Linked DNA regions of Elephas maximus indicus. The protein of the gene in region 3 interacts with the protein of the main gene of each other region in a biochemical or structural test. Links are inferred from orthologs where the notes say so. Each region holds a gene or a part of one and is shown on either strand. Other genes may lie near its edges. The genes, in order: AXIN1, RNF146, TNKS and TNKS1BP1.

What was found.
Region 1: the proteins of TNKS (region 3) and AXIN1 form a complex in vitro, tested with the Homo sapiens proteins (2 studies listed by BioGRID). The link is inferred for Elephas maximus indicus from reciprocal best matches to the Homo sapiens genes TNKS and AXIN1.
Region 2: the proteins of TNKS (region 3) and RNF146 form a complex in vitro, tested with the Homo sapiens proteins (3 studies listed by BioGRID and IntAct, with this or other methods). The link is inferred for Elephas maximus indicus from reciprocal best matches to the Homo sapiens genes TNKS and RNF146.
Region 4: the proteins of TNKS (region 3) and TNKS1BP1 form a complex in vitro, tested with the Homo sapiens proteins (2 studies listed by BioGRID). The link is inferred for Elephas maximus indicus from reciprocal best matches to the Homo sapiens genes TNKS and TNKS1BP1.

What each region holds. Positions count from the first base shown.
Region 1 is NC_064830.1:57,641,643-57,648,673, forward strand, and holds the start of AXIN1 (axin-1), read right to left. Parts: upstream 3,021-7,031; 5' UTR 2,937-3,020; intron 2,845-2,936; exon of another isoform or gene 2,824-2,844; intron 1-2,823. UniProt on the Homo sapiens protein: Component of the beta-catenin destruction complex required for regulating CTNNB1 levels through phosphorylation and ubiquitination, and modulating Wnt-signaling.
Region 2 is NC_064819.1:195,289,357-195,296,871, forward strand, and holds the start of RNF146 (E3 ubiquitin-protein ligase RNF146), read left to right. Parts: upstream 1-4,498; 5' UTR 4,499-4,590; intron 4,591-4,597; exon of another isoform or gene 4,598-4,759; intron 4,760-7,515. UniProt on the Homo sapiens protein: E3 ubiquitin-protein ligase that specifically binds poly-ADP-ribosylated (PARsylated) proteins and mediates their ubiquitination and subsequent degradation. May regulate many important biological processes, such as cell survival and DNA damage response.
Region 3 is NC_064840.1:71,012,939-71,020,786, forward strand, and holds the start of TNKS (poly [ADP-ribose] polymerase tankyrase-1), read right to left. Parts: upstream 3,007-7,848; 5' UTR 2,963-3,006; coding exon 2,293-2,962; intron 1-2,292.
Region 4 is NC_064825.1:118,733,414-118,740,745, forward strand, and holds the start of TNKS1BP1 (182 kDa tankyrase-1-binding protein), read right to left. Parts: upstream 3,018-7,332; 5' UTR 2,883-3,017; intron 2,595-2,882; 5' UTR 2,583-2,594; coding exon 2,444-2,582; intron 1,356-2,443; coding exon 722-1,355; intron 1-721. Other genes in the region: FACT complex subunit SSRP1, read right to left, coding at 7,279-7,332.

The DNA.
Region 1 (7,031 bases), on a different chromosome or scaffold from region 3:
CTCTAGGCCAACAGCGGGTATGTTTTCTGTCCACCACCCCTTCACACTCAGCACAACGTGCAGTGTGTAACCCACAGTAAGGTGTTCCTCTCTCAACTCACACAAAAAAGCCGTGACTTGGGGGTCACCTCCAACGTCACGGGCTGAGTGACTGGAGGATACCTGCAAAAGCACAGGGCATCCTGACCGTCAGTGTGAGAAAGCATCTGACAGCAGGTGGCCGTCAGGTACTTTAAGAAACCAAGAAGGCACAAGAAAAAATCAAATCCAAATCCAGTCACACGTTTTAGCCAAGGAAGCACAGAGCTCATGTGACTGAATTCCGTAAACTGAAGGAAACACCCCTCCCCTCATAGAGGTCATAGATTCAAGGGTTTTGCTGCTGGTGTCGCCCAAGCCAGCATGGATATGAGGATCAGATCGTCCTGGACACAAGGCTCAGACAGACTGACTCTCTGCCTGGTCCTCAGGGCCCCCCACCACACCCTCAAGGAGCCCACAACCATTCCTGCTAACCTCACCCTCTCTCTCCCTGCATCAGCCACCAGGTTAAGAGGTCCCAGCTATACAAATGCTGGAGATCACAGGTTTTCCGGAGTGCTAAAGAGGCCAGGGTGTGCAAAGTGAAACCCGAGGACTAGTCTAGAGGGCAGCCTTCTGAAGCCTAAGGCCCATGCTGCCGGGCCCTGCTTCCACCTGGGGCCAGACCCGAGACACACTGGAAAACATTTCTGCAGCGAGTGACTTTTCATGAAAACTGCTGGGCAGGCTGCAACAGTGGCCTCAGCAGGAATGCCTGCTGGTTAAGGTCAAGGCCCCTTGGCTGTGGTGTCCCGCCGCTCATGGCCACTTTGCCACAAAAGTCGCTGTCCCTCAGCCCTGTCAGCCACAAGCAATCCCTCCTGTGTCTGTATCTCTGCACATGCCAACATGACACGCCCCTGGGACCCTTGCAGTGCACACACCATGAGGAGGAACCAGGTCACTAGACACATGAAAAAATCACTTACCAAACAATACTCTAAGTGGGAACTTAATTACGCATCTGTTACTGTCCCTGCTCTTAAGGGGCTGTTAGATCTAACCTTTCATCACAAAGTTGCAGGTGTCTTTCAAGAATGACATTTCAATTCATCTGAGAACCAAATCCACCTTAATCATGCTAAACTAGTTTCACAGGCTAAAAGAAACTTTTCCCAACATTCTCATCTATTTTTGGCCGTCCACTGACGGAGATCTTTGGTGTCCCTGAAGCACGGAGACACCCTGACAAACTACTGACAGCATAAACCTGCTCTCGTGGTCTCAGTCCTGGGCTCCAACTAAGACACAGGTGTACTATTCAGTGTGCACACATACACACCACACACAGAACAGCTGTATTAATTCAGGTCTGCGCCAAGTAGCCACAAACACTAACTCTGGCCCACAGCCTGGAACCACCATCAATAAAGTGAATCCGTAAAAAGCGATCTATAAGCCTGACACTGTTTACATTTCTTCTGGTCCTGGCTTGGGCACACCCCTGGACCATGGCAGCACCCTCCACCTCAAGTAACCGAACCACTACACCTGTGCCTAGGTAGGTAGGTAGGTAGAGAGATGAGATGATAGATTTTACTCAAACGTTATCTTCCGAACTTTTTATTTAGATGGAGAGCAGATGTAACAGTATAACTCTGACATTTTCCCAATAGTCCATTAATTAAACTCTTGAATGGTCAGGGCTACTGCTTTACATACAATCCATCCCCCAACACCTGAATTTCTAACGATCAGCCTTTCTGAAAGGTCAGAACCAGCTGAAAATCAAGCAGAAGCACCATGATTTACATGCTTTCCCACCCTTGTACCGAACAGAATTTCTTTAAATTGAAATTGAGCTACTGCTGACTATCTCTGGTTGGTCAGGTGTAGACGTATGTGCTTCTCCAGACCACGGCCTGTGGATCCAAGTAAACATGAGATCTGCCTAAAGATGCAAAGAATACAGATGAGCCAAGAGGGAGGGGCCGCTGTGCACAATGAGGACCCTTTATAAATTAACTTAGGGATGGGCTCAGGAAAATCCCAGAGGACTGATGTTATCATCCCTACTGACCTCCTGAGGAGTTAAAAAGTTCTGCTGCCACAGCTGTGCAGCCCTGGTTTCATGGGTGCGTGGGGGGGGGGGTCGAATTCCAAATTGTGGGGTGGGGATAGAAACGAAGACCCACAAGAGAGACCCGGTTTTAGGCAAGATAACAGGGGGTGTGGAGGCCAGGAAAAGCGGGTACTCAGACAAGCTGAGCCCCAGCACCTCTGCCACAGAAAGGGAGGGCCTGCCAAGGCTTTGGACGCCCTTACTCCTACTTTTGCTGGGGGATAAGGAGAACAGCACTCCACAGCTGCGCTCTCCAGAACTCCTGCACTGACCTCTGGCCCCAGCAGCCACTCTGACCCCACCTGCACCCTGAAACCTGCCCCAGGCCAACGGACAACAGCACCCACCCTGCATCATGCAAACACACCCAGCTGCTGAGACCTCGACCCTTCTCCTGAGAGCACTCCCTCTCTCAGAATCCTGGGTCTTCCTCACTCTCTTCCACACACCTAGACCAAGGGCCTGCTCTTTCTGAACCAAGCCCACTCATCCCCCTTAACACGTCTCTGTGGCAAGGGCCTTGCCTTCCCATCCCCTGCCTGGCAGGCTGGACCCCAACATCTTCCCAGGATACCTCTCAACCCCCAAGGCTTCTCCGCACGCCCTCGAACCCCGTGCATCCCCTCGGAGCCCAAACGTCCCCGGCTCAGCCCTCGCACCCCTGCACGTCCCCTCCGCACCCCGGCCTGCACGCCTCGGAGCCCTCTTCCGGGTCCCGCGCCGCGGCCCGCACCTCGCACGCCCGCCGGCCTAGTGCGGCCTACAATGGGCCCGGCCCGCCCGCCCTACTCACCGCCCGCGGCGGCGGGGCCCCGGCCCGGCTCCCGGCGCGGAGCGGCGCGGCCCATGCGCTCAGCTGCGGCGCGGCAGGCGGGACCCGGCGGGGGCGCGGCCCGGAACGGCCCCCATCGCGGCGGCGGCGGCGGCCGCGGCGGCGGCGGCGGCGGCGGCCGCGCGGAGCGCGGGACGCGGGGCCCGGACGCGGCCAGCACGGGGAGGGCGCGGCGCTAGGGTGCCGCCGAGGTCCGGCCGCCGCTCTCACCGGTCCGCTCCCGGCGGACGCGGCTGCGGCCCGACTCTGGCCCGACCCCGGCGGCTCCTGATGTGGTGGCAGCCGCGATCGCGTCCCCGAGCTGGGAGCCCGAGCCCAAAGCGCCGAAGCCCAAGACCGAGAACCCCCGCCTGCGCCTCCCGGAAGTGAGGGGGCGGGGCCAAGAGAGCGCGACGGAGCCAGAGGGCGGGGATAGGCCCGAGAGCGTGGGGGTAGTGCCACAACGTGGGGGTGTGGCCTCAAACGGGGAGGCGGGGCCGAGAGCGCAAGGTAAAGCCACAGCGCAGGACTGCTCCTTGGGCGGGGGGTGGAGTCTCGGCGAGGGGCAGGTCCTGGAGAGGGAGCTCTGGATCTAGGGGAATGTGGGCGTACCCCGCATCGCCCACGATTTTCTGCGGCCAACACGACTGAAGGCAGCCCCGGTGATCGACGTGCCTAGGATTCCTCAGGTCGGCGCCCACAGGCCCGGCCCATGCCCAGCCGCTCTTTCCACCGCCCTTCGCGCTTCACCACCTCGTGCCCGGGTGGGCGGGGTGACCAGTGGGACTGGCAGCCTCAGGCCCTGCTGGCCCTGGAGACCCCCCCTCAGCCTACCCACCCACTGGGGAAGTAGGGGTCCCAAGTTAGCCGGCAGGCCCGGTGGCTGGGGGCTGAACTTCCTAGTGACGTCCAGCCCCTTGCCCAGGCCGCAGTCCACTGTCAGCACCTCTCCAAGAGAAGGATGTGGCCACCAGGAGTCTCTGATCCCCAGGAATCACGGCCGTGCCCCACCCCTTCTCAGAGCCGGTATCAGGCCTAGCACCTCTCTGGATGCTCCCAGCAACCCCCAGGGGAAGCTGTACCCCCATTTTACAGCCTGGGCCATTTAGGGACCTGTCACCACCTGGACCAGGACTCCTCAACACCCAAACTTCCCCAACAGCTGTCATCTGGGCTGCCCCTGCTCTAAAGCCCCCTAGGGCTCACCCAGTGGCATCTCCCCCACACCACCCACTCCTCAATGTGTCTGGTTATTTGCCCACCCCCATGCTTTCACCCATGCCGCTCACCCAGGCGGCCCAGACCGCCTGTTCAGTCACCTCGTCTTCTGGACACTGCTCAACCTCAGCTGTCCACCCCCCTTATTCTTCACGGCTTCCGGCAAGGGCAGAAGTCCTGGCATGGAGCCCCTGGAGCCCCTAGTCAACCTCCTGCCCAGTTGCCCCCTGTGATGCTTGCCTGGGGTGAGTGGTATGGAAGGAGGGGCACTAAGGAAGGGTTCCCAGCCCATCAAGGGCCCAGGCCACCTTCTGGGGCCATCGTCATGCCTCAGGGCAGTAAGGGCAGGGGCTGTACTGCTGAGCCAACACTGGACAGACACAGGCTCAGAGTGCTGGGCACAGGAGACCCTTGTGCACCATCCCCTGCCTGGTGCAGCCTCAGAACCTTGGAGGAGACAGAGTGGCTGCTTTCATGCTGTAGCAGAGTCTCATGGTGGGAGGCAGCCCTGGGTGGGCTGGACAGACAGCAGGCCATCCCAGACACTGGCCCTGTCCACTCCCAGACAAGGGCCCCAGAGCTTGCCTTCGATCTGCAGAGCTGCCACAATGGCCAGGCCAGGCTCTGGGGGCTGTGTCCATGCCCATCTTCCTCCTGGCCCAAGGCAGAGGGTTTCCCCAGGCCCTGGGACCAGAACAGGGCCCTTGGGCCTCCCACTCCTGGGGGCCTCCAGCCTGCAGGGACAAGAAGGGGGTCAGAAAGCCTTGGGGGAGGCAGCGGCCCCTGCTAAGAGGATGATGGTCATGAGGGTGGGGAGAGCAGACTACCTAGCATTGGCCAGAGGGGGTGAGCTCAGAAGATGCCCCCACCAGGGGCCAGACCAGAGAGATGGTGAGGAAGGCTGTGGAGAGAGAGGCAGAGGAAGGTGTTCTCGACTAAGCAGGGTGACCTGGGCAGGGGCCCTGGGCCAGCCACCCTGAGCTGAGAACAGGCCAGAGGTGTGGGGACAGAGTGCTCTCCATTCAGAACAAAGGTCCTTTCAAAGATAAACACCCCTTCACTGAGAGCAGTTTGACACCAGAGGCTTTAACGGAGATTTGATCAACTACAGATGGCCTTGTTCAGGCTCACCAAGGACTAAATGAAAAATGTAGGAGCAGAAATGACCTGTTTTCTAACTTGGGTGGAAAAGGGGTACTCTGAAATAAAGGACACCTCGAAGCCCTGAGGGTGTCCGCCCCATCAACTGTGGATGAACACTTAGAAAAGTGACCTGGGGGAGGCATTGGGGCAACCAAGATTGGTGTGGAGTCCGTCATGCAAGATGGACAATCCTTGGAACTGGGTGCGGCCCAGCATCCAGGAGAAGGGCAGCTGCATAGACGGATGGCCACAGTCAATGGCCGGTCTAAGGGAACCGTACTGCCCGTGCCCCTTGGTTTCCACGGAGGGGAGTGGGTTCTCCATAGGCCCCTCTGGTCTCTCCACCCCCGCATATGCTGGAGTCACAGGTGTGTGTGTGCCACAGGGGGTGCCCTGAAGGAAGACAGAAGCCTGGGCCATCCAGTTAACAGAGTGGGGAATTGGCTTCCCATTGGCGGCACAGCCCTGGCCACAAGCCTCTGGACTCCATCTCTCTGTCCCTGAGCCTCTTTTTTTCCATCAATTCTAAGCTCAGCAGAGGGGGAGGGAGGAGTGTCATCTGTTATGCCCCTACCCACTGCAGATAAGTGCTCATGATATATAACATCAAGGAGAAAACCTACAAAACTGCGCACAAACAGCCCAACTGTCCACCAACAGATGAATGCATAGACAAAGTATGGAATATTATGCAGCTATAAAAAGAAATGGACCCTGACACATGCTACGATGTGGATGAACCTGGAAAACATGAGGTTAAACAAAAGCCAATCACAAAGGCCACGTATTACATGACTCCATTTATATGAAACATCCAAAATAGGCAAACCCATAGAAACAGAAAGCAGGTTAGTGGTTGCCAGGGGCTAGGGGGAGGGGGAATGGGGAGTGCCTGCTAATGAGTACAGGGCTTCCTTTTGGGGTAATGAGAATGTCTGCAAATAGAGGCGATGGTTGCACAACACTGTGAATGTAACTAATGCCACTGAATTGTACACTTTAAATATGGTTAAAATGGTAAATTTTATAATATACATATTTTATCTCAATAAATGATTTTTTTTTAAACCACACACACAGTCTCCCTGTTTCTGTGAAAATAGAAAATGTATATATAAAGGCCAAAAGATGAAAAAAAAAAAAAAAAGGCCACCCCGGAGCATTGATCAGATGGAAACGCAAGGAGTGACATCTTTCTGTCAATGGTTGATGGTGTCAATTAACCATACAGGGAGGTGCGGCAAAGGTGGGACCCTGCAGGGCAGGACGAGTGGGGCGTTGGGCTGGGCTGTGGGCTCCGGGCCTGTGACCAGGGAGAAAGTGCCTGCAGGAGTGGCAGGTGACCTTCCTGAGAGATGCATCTGCTGTGGTTGCCAAGCCCACGTTGGCCCTGAACTGCACCAATACCTGCTCCTGCTCCTTTTTCTCCTGTGCTCAGCTTGTCTTGCCCTTCATGCCTGATGGGCAGGTCAGTCCTCCTGGCTGGTGTTTGGATCACTGTCAAGGCTGATCCCATTCTCCTGCCAACCCCAGAGCCTATAGCACTTCAGGCAGACAACTCCCCGGGGATCCTAGTCCCCAAAATCTCACAAATCCCCACTCCAGCCCCTGCTGGCCGGTGACAGTTTTGTGTGTGACCCGCCGCCTGACGTTACCCTGCAGCTGAGGTGGTTTCTGTTCCCATGACCTGGCACCAGCCGCATTCAGAGAGTATCT
Region 2 (7,515 bases), on a different chromosome or scaffold from region 3:
GGAGGTCTGATCTTGCCATGCCCTCACTCTCTTGACTCGATTCACAGAGAAAAACAAACAGGTTTTAGATAAAACTTACTAACTTTCCAGAGCCTCCAAACCAAAACCAAACCTGTTGCCATCGAGTTGATTCCAACTCATATCGACCCTAAAGGACAGAGTAGAATTGCCCCATAGGGTTTCCAAGGAGCACCTGGTAGATTTAAACTGCTAATCTTCCAGTTAGTAGCTCTAGCTTTTAATCACTATGCCACCAGGGTTTCCGCCAGAGCCTCAGATGGAGGAATATTAGAACTTTTGACAAAAATTGAACAATAAGCAAAAGTTCCCCCAAAAGGAAAAGACAAAACAACACAAATGCAAAGCTCATTTTTTCAAAGTGTCCACTAAAATTCTAAATTGTTTTTAGTATATTTATAGTGTTTTTAAATATGACCCCTAAACCAGTGTCTCAGTAGTGGGGGAAATTCAGGCTCATTTATCAAAAATGTCAAGCTCTAACGTTCAAGCTTTTGGTTCTTTTTTTTTTTTTGACTCAATTCATTTTGTTGACTAGAGACCTAGTCTCTTATTTTAGACCTTAAATTACCTAAAAGGTTTTGGAAATTAGTTTCTTTAATTGGCAAGTATTTTAAAGTAGCTACTGATGACTTTAACATTGTGATTTTTTATTGAGAAACTATATCATAAAACAGGTCTGAACTACTACTTCTCTCTGAGAATTTGGCAAAACAGAACTGTTACCCAGGTTTTCTCTAGTACTCTAGCCTATCTCACACCACGTTATCCTGTCACAGGAGTCTTTAACGCTTGTGATGAGTGCTGGTGACCACCCTAATGGCTTTTGCTGGTTGACCTGTGCCCAAAATTTGCAGCTTATAGTGAGTGACCCAGAGCTCTTTGGAAATAGAATTGTCTCTTTAATGTTTCATATGCCTGAATCCAGACACAAAACTGCAGTTCACCAAATGAGTTACTGAACATCATTCTTAACCAAATGATCAAGCAAAAAACCTAAGAAAGATTCTCCTTAATCAAACAACTGGCTCTCAAAACAAATGTGCCAAACAAAGCTTAAAAAAACATGAAAAAGAGAACAAAAAGAATAAGTGAAGACTCTTTTTCGAGGGCACTCCCCCTGTCAGTGTCAAAGGGACATAGAGTGCGAACACGTGGGTCCAAGAGATAGGACCTCTTTTTCTTTTTTGCTGGCTTCTGCTCCACAGTCCAGGTCTCCTTGAGGTTGACTGGATTCATGGTTTTAGAATCCCTGCAACAACTACACCATTAACTCTTGTAGGGTGAGGACACCACAAAGTTTAGTAAAGCAAAAAGAAAGGTTTTATTCAGAGTATATTTAAAGAGGCAAAAGTAGGAAAGGGACAAGCAAAGGGAAATGCTGCCAGGGCCATGTCTGTCCAAGTCTCTGTTCCCAGTTCTTAAGGATGCATCTTAGCAGGCCACATTCTGGGATCTTTGAACATTCCCCATTCTTTGGATATACACACTTAAGACTCACACAACCTAATCCAGTGCACCAACTTAACAGGTACCTGAGCCTTTTATGCCCTCGGCGGTCAATTCCTCAAACTTCTTGGGACTCTTCTAAGGCCTTACTAGGAATTACCTGGTTATTTACTAAATAAGTTCAGATTCCTAATGCCTTCAATGGTCAATTTCCCCCGCTTCTTGGGACTCTTCTAAGGCCTTACCTTGAACCAAAAACCAAACTCGCTGCTGTCCAGTCAATTCCGACTCATCTTGCCTAAAAAAAAAAGCCTAGGTACTTATAAAACAACTCAGGTGCATTTCATGTCTTCCACAGAGCCATCTTTTGGGTCCCAGGTGGACTGGCCTTCAGAGCTGCCCCAAAGTCTACAGAAGAAATCTCCTGGTGGTGCCAGACACTGGGGTGGTATGTTGTCTGATTCACCTCAAGAACGGAACAGATGGCTCCTGGCTGGCTCATCAGAAATGTTACTGGGTGGAAAACCCAGGTTCTTGCTCGGCATGACTCGTATCGGCCAATAAACAAGAGACTGCTGTGGGAGTACAGAAAAGGCACCTTTATTGTATAAAGAAAAGTCAGAGCTGCTGCTGCCAAGACTGCTCGCCAAGGGAGGCCAGGCAAGTTACTTTTAAGGGGTTTGCAAGTAGGGAGTTCACATAAGTTATGTCAGCAACGTTCTTAATCATACTATGCAGACACAATGGGGTTTACATATAGTCTCCAAGCAAAAGCAGGATTCCAATGCAAAGCTGAGGGAGAGGAAGCCCAGCAAAAGAAACAGGATTTTTAATGCAACACTGTGGGGAAGGAAGCCAAGCAAAGAAGGCAGGATTTTTAACACAGCACTGTGGGGGCTCTGTCTCATAAGGGCATGGGTGAGAAGAGGCTGCCCTGATTGAAGAACTGTACCCTGAATTGTAACCTATTACTTCCCTGATAGAGCCCATATTTGTGAGCATTGTCTGTGAGTTTTTGCAATGAATTATTGAGCTCAGCAGGGAAGTAGAGTGTCATAGAAGGGACGGTTGGTGTTAGAATTGGTAAAAAGATTGGAGAGAGGAGGCATGTCTGACCTCCACCTCAGAGCAAACAGTCTTGGGCTGTTGATGTTGATTATGATTCTTCTTCCCCCTTGTGAAGTTAGAGGAGGTCAGATGCCCCCGCCACACCATTTTTACAAAACCACTTAAAACAAAGCCTGGCACACTGTAAGTTAATATTACTATTATGTCTTTAAGCTTAAATCTATAAGCTATATATTGGATTTTTTTGCTATTATCTGTTCACAGGTTGTGTAGGATAAAAAAAAAAGTGTAGGATAGAGGAGTAAAATTGAATGGCTAAGGAAAGAATGAAGATATGAAACTAAACTTCCAGGTGGAGGACCTACATGTTCATATTCTACACTTATAAGAAAAAGAGTACTTCTTAATGAGTAAACATCAAAGGAATAGATAGAACTCTTGAAGAGACTGATTACATATTGATGAATATGAATTCAGAGAAATAAAAGATAATGTACACAGATCTATAGATACAAGTGAGACAGAACCCTCACAGTGTTGCATTAAAAACCCTGTTTCCTTTGCTGGCTCCTCCCCCACAGGCTTTGCATTTGAATTCTGCTTTTGCTTGGAGCTTATCTGTAAACCCTATTGTGCCGGGGTAGTATGATTAAGAATGTTGCTGACATAACTTACATGAACTCCCTACTTGTAAACTCCTTAAAAATAACTTGCCTGCTCACCCTCGGGCAGTAGGCTTGGCAGCAAGGGCTCTGACTGACTACTTTTATTTGTACAACAAAATAAAGGTGTCTTTCCTGTTCTCCCACCAAGGCCAATACGAGTTATCCTGAACAAGAACCTGGGGTTTCCACTAGGTAACACAAAAAAACAAAAAAAACACAAGGACACTGAAAATTTCCAAGCCTGAAAAAAATAATGAAACCTCAAAATGCAATACTACTGCCATGGAATGTTGAAATATGTACTGTTACTATACAAAGCATTCCCTTCCACACTCCGCATTTTCTACAAATTAAAACAATTTAGTCAGTTATGAAAAAAAGTAAAGCACATGCTAAAATAAAATGCATAATACTGCCAAGTTTTTTTATGTTTAAAATTACACACACGCTACAAAAAAAAAAAAACACCCAATTTTTAAATTATAGCTCTGCATGGTAATTAAAGAGCCCTGGTTATACAGTTGTTAAGTCCTCAGCTTCTAACAGAGGCCAGCAGTTCGAACCCACCACCTGATCCTCTGGAGAAAATCCTGGCAGTCACCGTCCAGAGGTTTACAGCCTTGGAAACCCCATGTGGTAGTCTTACTCTGTCCTACAGGGTCCCTATGACTCAGAATTGACTTGAGGGCCGTGGGTTTGGTTTTGGTATGCTGATTAATCTCTTTCTCCAGCTTCCTGTGTTCTTTTCTGTTGGGAAAAACGAGTCCAAACAGAAAGTAAGATCCATTTTTTTTTCCCCTAATTAAACTGCTCAACTATTCTGAGGGTGAATTCGAACATCTTAAGGACTCTTTTTTTTTCTCGAAAGAGACCAAACAGAAGAGCACTTTTATCAAGAGCTCTTCACACCGAAAGCCAGCCAGCTAGCTAGCTGCGCAAGGACTTCTTCCGGATGGCCCAGTCGGGTTCCTGAGCAGCACCACCTGCTGGTCCTATATACGTCCCACCTGGTCCACCCAAAATCTCCCTCTCCCTTTCAGAGCCTCCTGGACCTAAGCATAAGTAAAACAATATATAAAGATATTTATAAAACAATATATAAACCGAAATTGCAGGTAGTCTGAGGAAGGAGAAGGACGGCACCCAACAAACGCTTCGGCTACGGTAGGAAACCAGCGAAGCGGGGACGGCCCGGCAGGGACTCCTGCGCAAGCTCCCGGCTGTGCAGCGCTCCTTCCGCCCCGCGCAGACCCGCCCCGCCCCGCCAGCGCGGGGCCCCGCCCCTAGGACGCGCCGGGAGGTCACGTGACATCCGCGCGCGTCCCCGGCCGCTGCGGGCTCGGAGGCCGAAGAGGAAAGACTGCGAAGTGTCCGCTGCGGTGGCCAAGAGGTGGGGGTCGGGGCCAAGCCTTCCTGGGGGGCAGGAGGGAGGCTAGCCCTGCCAGAGAATCCTGTCTCGGGGAGAGGAGGGCTACCCGCGGTGTCACCGCCGGTCGCGACTCGCTACGTGTCTGTCCTGCGCTCGGGGCCTGAGAGGGGCGGCGGCGGGGTCAGGACCGGTACGTAGATCGACGCCCTTGGGCCGGCGTGGCCCCGGCTGTCCGCGCGGAGGCGGGATGGGAGAGTTCAACCCTTCCCGCCGCCTCCGCCGTGACTGTTGTCGCAGCAGGAAGACTCACGGCCTCAGTGGTGCTCGCGGCCGCTGCAGCCCCTGCCCCGAGCGACGGCTCGGAGCTGTTCTAGGTCGGGGTGCGAGAAGCAGAGCAGCGGCCATTACTGCGCAGCCTCTTCCGCCGGTCCGCATCGCGGCCTTTGGTGGTGGCCGGGTACCTTCTCATCCCTCTCGGCGGTAGTGTCAGGCCTCTGTCTGGAAGATCTTGTCCTTAGAGCTTAGGTGAGGCGGTGGTTTGGGGGTTACCTGCTCCCTGTTTCTCGTGAGGAGTCAAACACCTTGGGCCTTGTGTCATATCGAGGCCTGGGTGTACAGTCCCCGCATTTGAATGTATTTTGTCTTTTTCGAGTGCCTTTGCTGTCTTTTTCTCTTCCCTCTCTTCCTCCTCCTGCCCACTGTCCCGGTCTTGCCTGAACCCGGATGGATATGAAGACAGCCGTTCGTCCACCCGAGCCACCGCTGCATATTCTTAGATCTTTGTTTTGACTGTTATTAAACATCGGAAAAATTGAGAGATCTCTCAGGGTACCGTTTGAGCCTACAAACATAAGTGCATCCTAAAAGCGCAGAGTGTTGCTTTGTTCTTCTGGTTGCTGGGTGTGGAGTTCTATCCCTACCCCCCACCCCGTCTGAAAGAGTACAGGTCTTCCTCCATTGTTGTCGCTATTTTATTTTCTGAAGGCTTCTCCAGGAAGGTTGCGAAATGTTTGGACAGTGTAGAGATGGAACAGTTCTTTCCACAGGTAAAATCTACAGGATTGTAAGTTTATGCACACATTCTGGCAACTGGATTTTTTTCCCCTTCAGTTATCAATGAGAGGTTTTATTTTTTTTCACTAAGTGTCATTTTAGTGAGCACTTGCTGCTCAGGTTTTGAAAATACGCACATTTTGTTAGGTAACATTTTTCTAATATTAGTATGGAACTGAGGAGAAGATAACTAATAGATGATAGAAAACACTTTGTATGATTGACATTTTAGGTGTTGAAATGGGGTGTAAAGTGTAACACTGGGCATTGAAAGTAGTATATAATTACAGAAATTAGAGACTTAAGACTGTTTTTAGTAAGTGAATCTGTATTTAGACTTTTAAAAGACATGGCATGTAGAAGACATAAAGAAAATAACCCACACAAATAACACAGGATTTATAAAGTTAGGTTTGTTGTTTTTATGACCAGCAAATATTGTTTGTAGTGAGTGGCTGGGTGTTCTAAAAACACATGAAAATAGGTCAAGTAAATGACATTTTAAAGAGAAAACCGGAAGAGTGAATACCACTCTAAAAATAGATTTTGGTGTGTTTGTTTTGTCATTGTATATTGTATTGTGGAGCACTTTTTTAAGCCCTTTTGATTTAGAATTGATGTTTCAAATGGACCAGTGTAAGTTGTGGGCAAAATGGAAATAATGATACTTAAACATTTTGAAAGTTTTTGTTGTTCGATGGGTGGTAAGAACTTAGTAGAATTATAATCATCAGGTAAGCTGTTTCTCTCAATAGCTAGTCGTTAGACAAAAGGAAGGGAAAAAAAAAGTGATTTTTCTTTCTGCAGACATTTATCGACTAGTGAAGTGTTTTGTTTCAGTTTCCACAGCTTGAATCGTTGGAAGAAAGGGGCAGACTTTTTGAAAGGACCCAAAAATGATTTCTTGACTTTGAAGAAAAAGATAAAATTAAATTTTTTCTTTGTTTCATATCATTCATCTGTTTAAAGAATAAATGTGTTAGCCATATACTCACATGAAACGCCTGACATATTGTCAGGAATTTGAAAGCTTTTTTCGACAATATTAGCAATAGATTGCTGAGCCTTTTCCACTTTTGCTAGTTTCTGTTTGTGACTAAAGAACCTGAATTGGTGAATCAGGCTAAGTTAGGAACAATTTTTGTGAGTATAGAAGCCATCTTACTAACACTGGGCTATATCTGTACTTATTTATGGATTGTGTTTAGTGTTTGTGGCATATTACCTTTTTGGTTAATTATAGCAAAACCTGTTGTTAAATGCCTGTTAATTAGAACATTTTGAGTTACAGAATTATAGAGTAGGGTGAAACAACTAAGACATGGAGGATTATGACTTGACCAAGGTCACACAGATAATTAGTGGCAAAGCCTTTTTATTTACAAAATGGTTGCAGGCTGTGGCACTTCTGTGCTTGGTATGATTAAAAGACAATATTTGTTGACATTCAGATGTCATGTTTTATTAAGATAAAATTCAAGGCCCACGTTTTATTTGGGGAAAATTTTAACTTTTAATGCTTGAATATGAAGATTGTGAAGGTAGTAGATTTCCATATAGTAATTTTTCTTAAGAGAAATAATATATATATGTGGGAAATAATTCTTTAAAATAAGAGTAGTGTGAAGTGTTAGACTCCTTTTAGCTAAAATGAGTTTTGACTGAATACTTGTTGCCAAGTATGGCCACCGTATTGTGTAAGCTAATTTTTAATAGGAGATAATAGTAAAAGCGAAAAGTGGAAACATTAGGGCATTTAGTTACATCTGTCAATTTGGAACTCTTAAGATGTAAGAAGTACAGCCAGAATGTTCCTTAGAAGCAAGAATGCGAGACTTGGTCTCATGTATTTACCAGAAGGGACTAGTCCCTGGAGAAAGGACATCATGCTTG
Region 3 (7,848 bases):
CATAACGACCTGGTCTTTGGAACCTAACTATGTGGATAAGCGAGAAAAGGGTATAATTCTAAGTAGCTGTCATTTGTTAGTGATTACTTCAAAAGAGGTATGATAACAAACTGCAAGATGTGTAAAACATGTTTTAAAATAGCAATTTACAACAAATTACGCAAAAGTAAACAACCTAGGTTGAGTTATAAAACACTTAGATCTTTTATTTAACTTAAAGAAAAAGAAATACTATTTCATGTAAGGAGTCCTAGTGGCGTAGTGGTTAAAGAGCTCTGCTGCTAACCAAAAGGTCAGCAGTTCAAATCCACCAGCCACTCCCTAGAAACCCTCTGGGGCAGTTCTACTCTGTCCTATAGGGTTGATATCAGTCGGAATTGACTCAATGGCAACGGGTATTTTATGTAAAATAAGCAACATCCTTGAGTAAATATCTAGTTGGATGGAAGCCTGTTTAGGATTCAGTTCACTACATCCCTAATAGTAGTGTCTATACGTCAAGAATGGATCCACTAACGTCATAGTGATTTTCTGTAAACGTGTTTCTCAAGCTGCTATATGAGTGGGTCACAAACAGAATCTGTGAAAAATGAAATATCAGTGTACACCACGCACAGTAAGAGAAAGTACTGTTTCCTGCAACTTTTGATTCAGTTGTGTATGTATATGTCACAGTATAAAATATATTTCTAAGTATACCCAGTGCCGTCGAGTCGTTTCCGACTCATAGCAACCCTATATTTTATATATTTCTAAGTATAGGGTACAGTAAAAAAGTGTTAAAGCTACTCTTGCAATGTATGCCCCCTGATTACTACTTCTCCCAAAATGTTACCAAAGCAGAACTCTGCACCACAGTGACTCACAAAACTTTAAAGTATCCTTAACCCAGGTGTTAAGTTATGATAGTTTAAGTTTGATTTCACAAGCTCTAAAATCAAACTGCCTGAGTTCAAATCCAGTTCTACCATTTACTGTGTGAACCTGGGCTTGTTTAAACAGTAAGTACCTCGTATTTATCATCTGTAAAATGAGGATAACAGTTATTTTCTGACTGGATGTAAAAATAAATAACACATATAGTAAGTTCTTAACATACATTTCATTACCAAAATCCCCGTCATCGAGTCGATTACGACTCATGGTGACCCCACAGGGTTTCCAAGGCGGTAAATTTCTACAGAAGCCGACTGCCACATCTTTCTTCTGCAGAGCAGCTGGTGGTTTCAAACTGCCAACCTTTCTGTTAGTAGTTGATTGCTTTGACCACTGCACCGCCAGGGTTCCTTATTTTATCACTAACAAGTGGAAGGAGTGACAAACAGAAACCCGGGAAGAAACTTAACCACAGATAGCTTTAGTGTGGCATGTCTGACATGCGAGGGCGTGTGGTGCTTTAACTTTTCACTTCCTATCTTTCTGTCCTATTTGAAATTTTGTATTATATATAATGTATACACTTCTAATGTAAAGTGTGTCATGCATATAAAATTATTACTTTTATCTTTTTTAAATACCAATAGTAGGTATGGGGACAGTGAGGTTATGGTCCTTTGCTTTTTTTATTTCTCCATTTTTTTAAGACACTAAGTGTTTTTAAAAGAATATACTCAGCTGTATGCTTTAAAAAAAAAAAGGTGAAGAATAAAGCGTGGAATCCAGGGCTTAAGAATTAGCTTTTTTTTTTTGAGAACTTATTATGTATTTCTACTTTCATGACATAATGCATCCAAATATTCTTCTCCAGTTGCTTCATACAGGAATATTTTGATCTCCCCAACTACACTGTACACTTCTTGAGAAAAAGAAGAGTTTCACAAACTTTATTTGTGTTTTCCACTGGCTTACTGAAACCATAACTGATGCTTAAACACTCGTTGAACCACATTAACCTTCTTCTGGTCTAGACCTGCTCTCGTGGGCATATCGTCGTTGTAAAAACGAAATGATCAAGCAAACAAAAGAAAATTACTCTAAGGTTGCCCAAATCTAACTTTATTCCTACACATTCAGAACTGAAAAGTTCGAGCATACCTATATCCAGAGACTACCACTACGGAGTATGAGTACAAGTAGCACTGTGCAAACACTAAACTATGGATTCACACAGCCCCTTACCACGCCCCCGTCACCTGGGCACTACCTAAAGAAAGGAGTCTTGTCTTCAGGTGAAGTGCTGAAGAACTATACCACGCTCCATTTTGTCCCATCAACTTAAATCAGTTTTCTTTTCGTACCCAGACCCCCGCCTCCAAGCCCCAAACTCTTAATAAACAATTTAAAACCTCTGACCTGCAGCGAAGTGCAGGGGAGAAGACTTCCGCCCGGCCATGTCCTTAGCATTCACGTTTGCGGCGTCCACCAGCCTCTTTACCCTGGACACGTCCCCATTGCGACAGGCCTCCAGCAGCTCCCGTAGGGCCCCGCTCACTGCGGCGACCCCCGGCCCAGGTCCCGCCGTCCCAGGCCCCAATGTCGTTGTGGTGCCAACGCCGGCAGCCTCGGGGCTCTCCGCCAAGCTCGATCCAGGAGAGGATGGAGAGGATGATGAGGAAGTCGGGGAAGAAGAGGACGACGGTGAGTTGTTACCGCCACCGCCGGATGGGTTGGGAGCGACCCCGACGGCAGATGAAGCAGAAACCACCGGGACCACGGGAGCGGCGGCGACGGTACAGATTGCGCTGGTGGTACTGCAACAGCTAGTACTGTCAACCGGGTCCGGAGATCGGGGCCTGTCGGGCGGATCCCGACTGCCATCCCCCTCCGGCAGTGCTAGGCCGTGCCGCGGGGAGGCGAAGGGGGCCAGGCCGCTGGCCGTGGGGGAGGCTGGGGTGGCCCCCGGGGCCAGGCCGGGGCTGAGTGGGGGGGGAGGTGGCGGCGGCGGCGCTGAAGCCCCTGGGGCGGGCTGGAGCTGTTGTTGATGATGGTGGTGATGATGCTGAGAGCGACGCGACGCCGCCATCTTCGGACTCCCCCAGCACTGTCACTGCGGCAACGGCCTCACCGCCCGCCCTCACTTCCGACCGCTGAACCAATCAGCACTCAGCGCACAGGAAATGATGCCGCGCGGGGTAGGCGGGGTGGAAGAGAAGGCGGGATGTATTGGGAGCTCAGAGAATGGCTACGGAAGGGGGCGTGGTCTCGTGGCTGAGGGGCGGGCTTTGTGACGTCTTGGCGGGCCGGCTGGGGAGATTTGAATGTTGGAGCCGGCCACTTCCTACCTGGGAAACTTCCTGCGTTTCTCACTCAGTTTGCCTTGCTGTGCTCTGTACGTTGCCAAGTCTCCTTCAGTCTTCCTTTTCATGCTACAGACCCAGCTCTTAAGGTGTAACTCACTCAAAGCAAACAGAGAATGTGTCGTTTGTCATCTATCAGCCTTTTTGTCTGGAAAAGGAAAAATGGAATAATACTTGTCTCACAGAATTATTAGCACGATTAAATGAGCTAACATACACAGAGGCCTCAATAAAACATAACTATAATTAGCCCATTGGTCATTTTAAAAATGCTGTCTTTTCTCTCTCAGTATTCCCTTTTGATCTCTGTATGTCATTGTTGTTGTAGTTATGAGCCGTCAAGTCGGTTCTGACTCATAGCGACCCTACGCACAACAGAACGAAACACTGCCCGGTCCTGCGCCATCCCTACAATCGTTGTTATGCTCGAGCTCATTGTTGCAGCCACTGTGTCAATCCACCTCCTTGAGGGTCTTCCTCTTTTCCACTGACCCTGTACTCTGCCAAGCATGATGTCCTTCTCCAGGGACTGATCCCTCCTGACAACATGTCCAAAGTAGGTAAGACGCAGTCTCGCCATCCTTGCTTCTAAGGAGCATTCTGGCCGCACTTCTTCCAAGACAGATTTGTTTGTTCTTTTGGCAGTCCATGGTATATTCAATATTCTTCTCCAATACCACAACTCAAAGGCGTCAATTCTTCTTCGGTCTTCCTTATTCATTGTCCAGCTTTCACATACATAGGATGCGATTGAAAATACCATGGCTTGGGTCAGGCACACCTGAGTCTTCAGGATGACATCTTTGCTCTTCAACACTTTGAAGAGGTGTTTTGCAGCAGATTTGCCCAATACAATGCGTCTTTTTATTTCTTGACTGCTGCTTCCATGGCTGTTGGTTGTGGATCCAAGTAAAACGAAATCCTTGACAACTTCAATCTTTTCTCCGTTGATCATGATGTTGCTCATTGGTCCAGTTGTGAGGATTTTTGTTTTCTTTATGTTAAAGTGTAATCCATACTGAAGGCTGTGGTCTTTGATCTTCATTAGTAAGTGCTTCAAGTCCTCTTCACTTTCAGCAAGCAAGGTTGTGTCATCTGCATAACGCAAGTTGTTAATGAGTCTTCCTCCAATCCTGATGCCCCATTCTTCTCCATATAGTCCAGCTTCTCGTTTTATTTCTTCAGCATACAGATTAAATGGGTATGGTGAAAGAATACAACCCTGACGTGCACCTTTCCTGACTTTAAACCAATCAGTATCCCCTTGTTCCGTCCAAATAACTGCCTCTTGATCTATGTAAAGGTTCCTCATGAGCACAATTAAGTGTTCTGGAATTCCCATTCTTCGCAGTGTTATCCATAGTTTGTTATGATCCACACAGTCAAATACCTCTGTGTAGTCAATAAAACACAGGTAAACATCCTTCTGGTATTCTCTGCTTTCAGCCAGGATCTATCTGACATCAGGAATGATATCCCTGGTTCCACACCCTCTTCTGAAACCGGCCTGAATTTCTGGCAGTTCCCTGTCGATTTACTGCTGCAGCCGTTTTTGAACGATCTTCAGCAAAATTTTGCTTGCATGTGATATTAATGATATTGTTCTATAATTTCCACATTTGGTTGAATCACCTTTCTTGGGAATAGGCATAAATATGGATCTCTTCCAGTCAGTTGGCCAGGAAGCTGTCTTCCATATTTCTTGGCATAGACGAGTGAGCACCTCCAGCGTTGCATCTGTTTGTTGAAATATCTCAATTGATATTCCATCAATTCCTGGAGCCTTGTTTTTCACCAGTGCCTTCAGAGCAGCTTGGACTTCTTCCTTCAGTACCATCGGTTCCTGATCATATGCCACCTCTTGAAATGGTTAAAAATTGACTAATTCTTTTTGGTATAATGAGTCTGTGTATTCCTTCCATCTTCTTTTGATGCTTCCTGCGTCGTTTAATATTTTCCCCATGGAATCCTTCACTACTGCAACTCAAGGCTTGAATTTTTTCTTCAATTCTTTCAGCTTGAAAAATGCTGAGCGTGTTCTTCCCTTTTGGTTTTCCATCTCCAGCTCTTTGCACATGTCATGATAATACTTCACTTTTCTCGAGAGGCCCTTTGAAATCTTCTGTTCAGTTCTTTTACTTCATCAATTCTTCCTTTTGCTTTAGCTGCTCAACCCTCAAAAGCAAGTTTCAGAGTCTCCTCTGACATCCATCTTGGTCTTTTCTTTCTTTCCTGTCTTTTCAGTGACCTCTTGCTTTCTTCATGGATGATGTCCTTGATGTCATTCCACAACTCGTCTGGTCTGTGATCACTAGTGTTCAATGTGTCAAATCTATTCTTGAGAAGGTCGCTAATTCAGGTGGGATATACTCAAGGTCCTATTTTGTCTCTCATGGGCTTGCTCTGATTTTCTTCAGTTTCAGCTTGAACTTGCATATGAGCAATTGATGGTCTGTTCCACAGTCAGCCCCTGGCCTTGTTCTGACTGATGATATTGAGCTTTTCCATCGTCTCTTTCCACAGATGTAGTCAGTTTGATTTCTGTGTGTTCTATCTGGCGAGGTCCATGTGTATAGTTGCCTTTTATGTTGGTGAAAGAAAGTATTTGCAATGAAGAAGTTGTTGGTCTTGCAAAATTTTATCATTCGATCTCCGGCATTGTTTCTATCATCAAGGCCATATTTTCCAGCTACTGATCCTTCTTCTTTGTTTCTAACTTTTGCATTCCAATCATCAGTAATTATCAATGCATCCTGAATTCATGTTCGATCAATTTCAGACTGCAGCAGCTGATAAAAATATTCTATTTCTTCATCTTTGGCCCTAGTGGTTGGTGCATAAATTTGAATAATAGTCGCATTAACTGGTCTTCCTTGTAGGCCTATGGATATTATCCTATCACTGACAGTGTTGCACTTCAGGATAGATTTTGAAACGTTGTTTTTGATGATGAATGCAACAGCATTCCTCTTCGAGTTGTCATTCCCAGCATAGTAGACTATATGAATGTCTGATTCAAAATGGCCAATGCCAGTCCATTTCAGCTCACTAATGCCTAGGATATCGATGTTAATGTGTTCCATTTCATTTCTGATGATTTCCAATTTTCCTAGATTCATACTTTGTACATTCCAGGTTCTGATTATTAATGGATGTTTGCAGCTGTTTCTTCTCATTTTGAGTTGTGCCACATCAGCAAATGAAGGTCCCGAAAGCTTTATTCCATCCACGTCATTAAGGTCGACTCTACTTTGAGGAGGCAGCTCTTTCCCAGTCATCCTTTGAGTGCTTTCCAACCTGGGGGGCTCATCTTCCAGCCCTATATCAGACAATGTTCCACTGCTATTTGTAAGGTTTTCACTAGCTAATGCTTTTCAGAAATAGACTGCTGAGTCCTTCTTCCTTGTCTGTCTTAGTCTGGAAGCTCAGCTGAAACCTGTCCTCCATGGGTGACCCTGCTGGTATCTGAATACCAGTGGCATAGCTTCCAGCATCATAGCAACACACAAACCCCCCCAGTACAACAAACTGACAGACATGTGGGGGGTGTGTCACTGAGATACACAAAAAATTTCATTTTGCAGCATAAATTTATCACTCTAAATACTTTGCTAATCCTACGTTTTTAAATTGTGGCTCAGATCAGAACTGGAATGCAAACTAAGCCATTTATAAGCTTTAAAAATTGGGACAAGTAATTTTACCACTCTGTATCAGTTTCTGGAGCCCTGGCGGCTCAGTGGTTAAGAGCTCGGCTCCTAACCAAAAGTTCAGCAGTTTGAATCCACCAGACGCTCCTTGGAAATGCTATGGGGCAGTTATACTCTGCCCTAAGGGGTTGCTAAGTGTTGGAATTGACTCGACGGCAACGGGCTTGGTTTTTGGTTTATGTGACAGGCATTGCACAATGGGTTTGGTTTTTTATCTGTTTCTCCTCTATAAAATTGCAATAAAAATAGTTCAGCAAATGCTAAGTATTGAAATAATGATTTTTTTCCTATTTTATTATCTCTACTTTTATTCTCACCCTAAGCTTGACTAAACTGATTATGACTAAGTTCCATTCTTGTGAATTCTTTTTTAGCTGAGCCTCTCTTCCTCTTTGTCATGGATTGAGTTATGTCCCCCCCAAAATGTGTGTATCAACATGGTTAGGCCATGATTCCCAGTATGATGTGGTTGTCCTCAGTTCTGTGATTGTAATTTTATGTTAAGAGGATTAGGGCGGGATTGTAACACCACCCTTACTCAGGTCACCTCCCTTACCCAAAGTAAAGGGAGCTTCCCTGGGGTGTAGCCTTCACCACCTCTTTTCCCTTAAGAGATAAAAGGAAAGAGAAGCAAGCAGAGAGTTGGGGACCTCATACCACCAAGAGAGCAGTACCGGTAGCAGAGTGCGTCCTTTGGACCTGGGGTCCCTGCACCTGAGAAGCTCTTCCACCAGGGGAAGTTTGAGAACAAGGAATCTTCCTTCAGAGCCGACAGAGAGAGAAAGCCGACTCCTAGAGCTGACACCCCGAATTTGGACTTTTAGCCTACTTTACTGTGAGGAAATAAATTTCTCTTTGTTAAAGCCATCCACTTGTGGTATTTCTGTTATAGCAGCACTAGA
Region 4 (7,332 bases), on a different chromosome or scaffold from region 3:
GCCTCCTCCATGCAGCTGAGGGATCCTGAGATCCCTGAGCCTTTTCTTCCATTGCCCAGTGCCCATGACCCCAAGGGGCGCCTGCTGGCCTGCTCTGAAGAAGTGTACTTAATGCAACAGTCTCCAGTCCAGCCATAACCTGTGTGTTCACACTCTCTGGTATGTGCAGTCTTAACTCTCCCATCAGACTCCTCCTCTGGCAGAGACTGTACCTGCTCATCCTGCTGCCCCTCCCACCTCAGGCCTGGCACACTGCTCCGCCCACAGTACAGGCTTCAGAATCAAACAGACCCGAATGCAAATGCCAGCTCTGCCTCTTACTTGCTGAGGGAATGTGGGAAATCGTTTTTTGATCCTCAGTCTCCCCCTCTACAAAATGGGTCTAAGTTCCTTTCACCCAACAGATGGTTGTGGATTAAAGGGGACAAGTTTGGAAAATACCTATCTTAAGTGCCCAGCTCTCAGTGTATAGAAACTAAAAGTAAATTTCTATGTTAGACATTTGAGCTCTCTACAGTAAACATGCAGCAGCTCTGTAAGCATGGTCCCAGTAGTATGTTGCTGGAGGAGTACATCTGTGACACTTAGACCAGGGTGTACCTGCACTCAGAGCACACAACTTGCCTAGAGGTGAAGCTTGCGGCCCCAGGGAGCCACCCACGGCATCCTCAGTACCCCCGGCCTCCAGGTACAACAAAACATATGACCTCCCCACCCTCACCTCTCCTCAGGGGTCTTGCTATGCTCTTCCTGGCTCTCCTTTGGAGACTTCAGGGGCCCCTCCTGGGACCATCCCCTGGAAACGGTCCCGCCATCCTCAGCCCTGGGGCTGGTGACAACGCCGTAGGTCCTAGGGCCATAACGTGAGCTGCCATCGTGGTTGAAGGTGAGGCGGGAGCCCCAGAGGCGGTCAGGGCTGGCAGGAACCTCCTTCCGAGGCTGTTCCATCTTGGCCAGGATCTCTTCCACGGTGGTGGCTGCGAAGCGCTCTGAGGCTGGACGGAATGGGGCCGGGGCCTTCCGAACGCCGCCCAGGGCAGCACATCTCGCTGGAGGGGTCAAGGGGGGCACCTCCTCTTTGCCAGCCTCCTCCTTCCCAGTCCCTCGAGTGGATTCTCCTCCATCAGGGGCATCAGCAGTAGGCCTTGGTGCAAAGGGGAGGGGACGTTTGCTGCCACCATAGGGCTGGGGTCCCGCCAGCATGTTCATCTTCCGGGCAGAAGGCAGCTCAGCCAGAGGGCCCCGGGGGGGCCGAGGCCCTACAGGCACCAGTAGGCTGGGCTTGGCAGGCAGGGCTGGCTTGGTGGGAAGGGCCCGGGGCTTGGGCTTGACAGGGGGTTTGGCCCGAGAGTCACCTATCAGAACAAAATGGTTGGGGGGCAGCTGTCAGAACAGCGAGGAAGCAGAACTTCTTGTGTTTCCTGTTCCACCTCATCTCCCACCCTCCCATCTCAGAATGTTCACATCCTTCTAGGCACAATTCAAATGCCACCTCTTCCACGAAGCCTTCCTTGATTTCCCACATGCATCCTAAGAGCATCTTCTCCCGTCTCCAAACTTCTAAAATGTTTAGGCATTTCCCCCGTATAAGTTACTGCTATTTAAGGGCCCAGCTGGTACCCTGTTTGGTACCTAACACAAGGTCTTATCAAAAGAAAGAAAAAATGAATGAATGAATGAATGAACAGGCAAAAGTGTCCATAAATAAATGCCTGACCACCCATATCAAGCCATGTGGCCAACCATCCCCCTATCTAGTCCTCCCCCTTGTATTCTGGGATACTCTTTTATCGATACTCTACTATCGCCCATGACAAAACTCTTAAGCCCAGCTGGGCTTCCGGGCCCTGCCTCCCTGCTGCCCCCGCCCCCAGTATACTCCCAGGCCACCTCCCCACTGTCATCTGGTAAGATCAGGAATGCAAATTTACTATTGACCTAAGCCAAACAGAAGTCAATCTGCTACAGCAAAAAAACAAGACCAGAAAACTGCCTTCTATATAAGGCATTCCAATGCCAAAGAAAGACCTTGGAATTACTCATGGCCACCTCCCTTCTAATAGAATCCGGTATGATCCCCATTCAGCTCAGTGTAAGAAAGCAGTCTAGACAGAGAGCTAGGAGGCCTGGGTTCAAACCCCATCTCTCCCTTCTGGGCCTCAGTTTCCCCTCGATAATACATGAGGCTTGATTGATCACATCATCTTGAAGAGCCCTGTCTGCTCTTACCTGCTGGGGGCTCTATGCATCTCAAACAGCCCCAGATGGTCTCAACAGCCTCTTCCGAAGGGGCTGAGACCTTTACAAACTCATCTGGACGTCCTCACTCCCACCTCAACAGAACCATTCCTGGCCCACCTCCACAAAAACAGAATGGGGGTGTAGTCTCTGCCCCTCCAACCCTCCTCCTCAGCTACCCGCCCCACCCTGCACCCATGGGTACCTGGCTCAGAGCCAGTGAGCACCAGCTCCTCCTCCATCTCCCGGGGCGGTGGGGAAGCCATGGCTGTGCCTTCCCTGAGAGTTGAAACTTTCATCACATGCGGCAGACCCTGCGTGAGATTCAGGGAGCAGAGGGGCATGAGCTGGGGCAGCTGAAGACCCAGGAAAAGAGAAAAAGGAAGAGAAGGAAAAAAAAGTTGGGCGTTGGCAGTAGGCTCAGCCAAGGGAAGTCTCCTAGCACAAGGCAGAGAGTGGGACAGGAAGAGGGAACTTCCGAAGGAGGCTGGGGGAGGTCAAGGGAGGACTCCAGCTGCCAAGTCCTCTCCTCTTCCCAGCTCACCCTCCAACCAACTCTTTCCTCCCGACCCCAGAGTCCTGGACCTTCAGGGAGCCACCCACTGCTCCCTCTTCTGGCAAGCTCTCCAAGTCACCCCACTTACCGTTCCCAAGGCACCCCTTGGGTCCAGCAGCCCCGCTGGAGTTACCTACTCGAGGTAAAACAAGGAGGGCCAAAAAGTCTGAAGTCTCCCAGTGAATCACCTCATGGGAGACGGGAAAAACCCGCTCCTCCCCAACCTGGGGCTCCGCCCCACTGCCTGCCTCCCCCTTCCCGCTCACCCTCCTTCTCTCCCTCCCTCCTCCAGCTGGGAGTGGTTCCCTCTCCCCCTGCCACCCCCCTTCCACATCCCTGCCCCTCTCCCGCCTCCCTCAGAGCCGTCTAATCCAAACACGGAAAAATAAGGAATAAAAAGTAAACATCTGGAATATATTTTTTTCTTTAATTTCTCAATCGCTTTGGCTTCAGCTTAGAATTTGATGAGGTAAAGCCAAGGCCTAGTCCTGTTGCCATAGCAATGGCCTCCCACTGGATTTCCAGAGCCTTGCCAAGAGGAAGGAGGAGCCGGCCCAGGCCTGGGCTGGGAGAATGGGACAGGGCTTGAGAACATCCGGGGGGTGGAGTGGCTTGGGGGAAAACTCCCTGGGGTTCCCCCTTCTAGGACACCCAGGTTGAAACAGCCACAGCCTATGAAAAAGGGAGATAAGTGGGCATCACTCACCAGCCTAGAGATAGCATGATGGGATTTTGAGGGGGGTGAGGAAAAAATTAAAACAAGAAACACAGTCCATGGTAGAATCCAAATAGGTATCCCTCTTCCATATCTATAACAGGTGCTTTGGGTCTGAGAGAACCACGATTCAAATGCTGGATGGGTCTACCACTTTGTAGCTATGTGACCTTGTGCACATGGCTCACTTCTCTAATCCTCGGTTTCCCTATCTAAAAAATGGGGCTATCGTGGCTGTTGGGGGGCTTAAGTGAGGTACCCATTAACCATTGCCGTCGAGTCGATTCCAACTCATAGTGACCCTATAGGACAGAGTAGAAGCGCTCCATAGGGTTTCCAAGGCTGTAATCTTTACGGAAGCAGACTGCCACAACTTTCTCCTGTAGAGCAGCTGGTGGGTTCGAACTTTTGATCTTTTGGTTAGCAGCTTAACCACTGTGCCACCAAGGCTCCTTTTATGCATGCAAACTGCTTAGCACAATGCCTAGCACATCATTAAGTGTCCAATAAACATTAGCTATTATTACTATTATTCCATTCACAGTCTCACCAATGAGCGAGCATCTCAGGTAACCACTTCCTCATCTCCCTGGACCCCAGGCTCTCAGCATTCCCATTCTTTCACTTCCACACACCGCAGTCATGTCACCTGTAGCTCAGATACTCCACCACCTCCTCAGTTCCCATCCTGGCTCCTGGAGCACCATCCCACCCACAAGACCCCCCAGGCACTCCAGCCTGGGAGATAGAGCCCTGCCCCTTGAGGTCAAAAGTAAGAGGAATGTTTCCTACGCACTTAGTGCTCACAAAGCACATGAAGGCAGCAACCCAACCCTTTCCGATATGCAAGGGGCACCACCTCCCACATACACTCCAGCTGGTCTGAGAAAAGACAGCACCAAACCCTAAGAAGGGGGCTCTGGTGCCCAACCATTGCAAAACCTATCCCACTTACCTGTGCCCCTGCCCCACTGTTTCAAACATAAGAGAGGATGTGTGAAGGGTAGAAAGAAGCCCAGGGCTATCAACTGGTCAACCAGTTAGTCGAGAACCACCCAGGGCTGCCCACTGGGTGGGAGAATAACTGAGCAGGTCCCTGTCCAAGTGTGCATGGGGGAGGAGCCACAGGACAGAAAAAATTAAATTAAGAAACACGAGATCGTTTACTTGTCCTTGAACATTATTACAAGGGACATGGTGTGGGTGGTTAGATAGAAATGGAGACAAACTGGCCCAGAACCGAAAAACCCTTTCACCTGGGGGCCTGATGTGGACCTCTGGGGTCTGAGAGGCTGCACCATGAAAGCAGTCATGAACGTGAGAACATGGATTCCCCAATTGGGGAGGGGGCCACAGCAGCTCAGAGGCCCCAGCCAGGAGCTCCAGGTGACCAGACCGTGACCAGAAGCTGCAGAATCGGAGCGGCTCCCGACCACTCCCTACCCCCAGGGGTCCCGGGGAGCCGAGCTGACTGATCCCTGGCAAAAAAGGCCGCCAGAAGGGCTGGGGAGGGGCTGGGAAGCTCGAGCCCAGGGCAGGGGCCTTGAGGCGACTCGGCGCAGATGGGATGGTCCCTCTGGACCCTGGGATCTCTGGCCGAATCTGGGGCCAGAGAGGTCAGCAGGGACGGCATGCGAACTGCTGGAGGAGGGAGGGCCAACCGGAAGGCGGAACAGCCCGGGGCGAGGGGCCGTCTGGAGGGGCCCAGTGGGGAGCTCTGGACACAGAGGGGGCGGCGGCAGCTGAGGAGGAGGAGGAGGAGGAGGAGCAGAAAGCAAAGCGGAGGACCTGTGCGCGGGATGCGAAGCAGCCGGAGAACAGATGGAGGACTGAGGACGCGGACCGGGTGGGGGCGGCCTGGGGTGGCTGGGGGCGTGCCGAGGGGCCGGAGGAGAGGAGGGAGGAAGGGGTCACCCAGCACCTCGGCCCGCCCCAGGCCCTCGCCCCCTCCCCCCTTTCTTCTGGCTCCTGCAGCACGAGATGCAGACTGTGCACCCTTCGCCCCCGCGGCCACGCGTCAGCTCCCCTGTTAGCTCGCGGCCCCCGGCCCCTGAAAACTTTCCCTGAGACCCCCGCCCCACCTCACCCAGAGGTCCCAGCAGCAAAGCGCCCACCTCTCCTATGCCCCTCCCCTGCCCCATCCCGGACCCCGCCCCCTCCCTCGCCCTACCGCCCGCCCCCGCTCACTCACGCGCTCCCCGGGGATGTGGCTCCGCTCGGCTAGGCGCCCCGACGCCAGTCCCCACCGCCGCCGCCGCCGCTGCCGCCGTCACCGCGGGACCGAGCCAGAGCGAGCACCGGCGGGGCCCCGCCCCTAGCTCCGCCCATGACCACGCCCCCAGAGCACCTCATGAACATTCATAAACCGATGCAACCCCGGGAGTGGGAAGCCCTGACGGAACTCGCCCGACCAAATGCAAACAGCGCCGCCCTGGTACTCAATTATTCATGAGTCTTGCAAATGAGGGGCCCGCCTCAGCTCGGACCCGGCGAAACTGACGCAATTCGGGAGTTTGGAATGCTCGGGCAAGATGGCCACCGAGACGACCGCCTAGAGTGGAGGCTGCCTTAGGGCGACCCGATACGCGAGCCCAAGGGCCTGTACTGATGGCAGCACCATAGAGTCACGGCAAGAAAGAAGGTAGCCGTTGGCGGACCGGAGAGGCTTCCTGTTGCCACCCCCGGAGTCCTCCTGAGCACGTACGCAACGTGGCCACCCCACGTGTGTAAATTCAGATTTAGAGCCACCGGGAGGAATACGGTGGCAGCCCTGCTTTCCTTTCTTTGCTTATCCTCTGCTACGCTACCTTCCCAAATATCGCTCCTTCCCAACCCCCAAATTTAGTATCCTCTCCCTTAAGAACAAAAGGTTTACATACTCCATCATATTTTTTCTGTGCCCTATTAGACGTGTACGCGCGCACACGCACAGACACACACCCTACTCATCTTCCCCAACTCTCCAGGCTCAGGTTTCTACTCTCCTGGTTGCAGGGAAACTGGTCAATTCAATTACCTAAAGCCTGATTCAATTACCTAAAGCCTTTGAAGACCCTTGACTCATAGGTGATTAAGGATGGAGCCAGAGGCTGCCTCCTCTTAGCCAGGCTAATGGAGTGGAACTGTGAGAGAGACTTCCTAATCAGATCAGCTCTCATTTCTACACTCTCAGGTGGCCCGTCCCGGCAGAAGAGCGTGAAAACCAATGCTTGTCCAGCTGGAAACAGAACAGGATGTACCTGAAGATTGCTTCCCAGCTGAGAAGCTGGGCCAGGGCGATACAGTAGACAACACTGGGAAAAACGGGCGCCATCCGACAGGGCTACAGAGAAGGCACAAGGACGTGGTTTCCAAAGTCAGTTCCCTTTATTAAATGTTGATTTTCGCAGACCAGAAATACAAAATAAAAGTAGAAATTGGCGCCCATTAGGAGCTACAGGCCTGGCCTCACTTGACCCCGTGCTGCGGCAACTTGAACAGGTCAAGCAACAGCGTATCCTCAAGGCTGGAGAAGCAGGACAAAGGGTCTCGATCCTGCACTGCCCTGCCTCCCAACCAATTTCTCCCCAAATTAGAGAGCCGTCTTGTGAAGCAGCAGAGGAAGACGCCTCCTCAGCCACTCCGGTGAAGTGCATACCCGCAGGAAAGCTTGGACAGATGGCCCAGAATCCAGGGCTACCTCTCATGGGAGGAGAAACTGGTACCAAAACATGGGTGGGGAGCCTTGGGGGTATAACTGGGCAAGCAGGGAGAGACAATTTCCTCCTGTCTACTCATCGGATCCTGATGCCGAGTCCTCTGAGCTGGGGGGAGTACTGGCTAG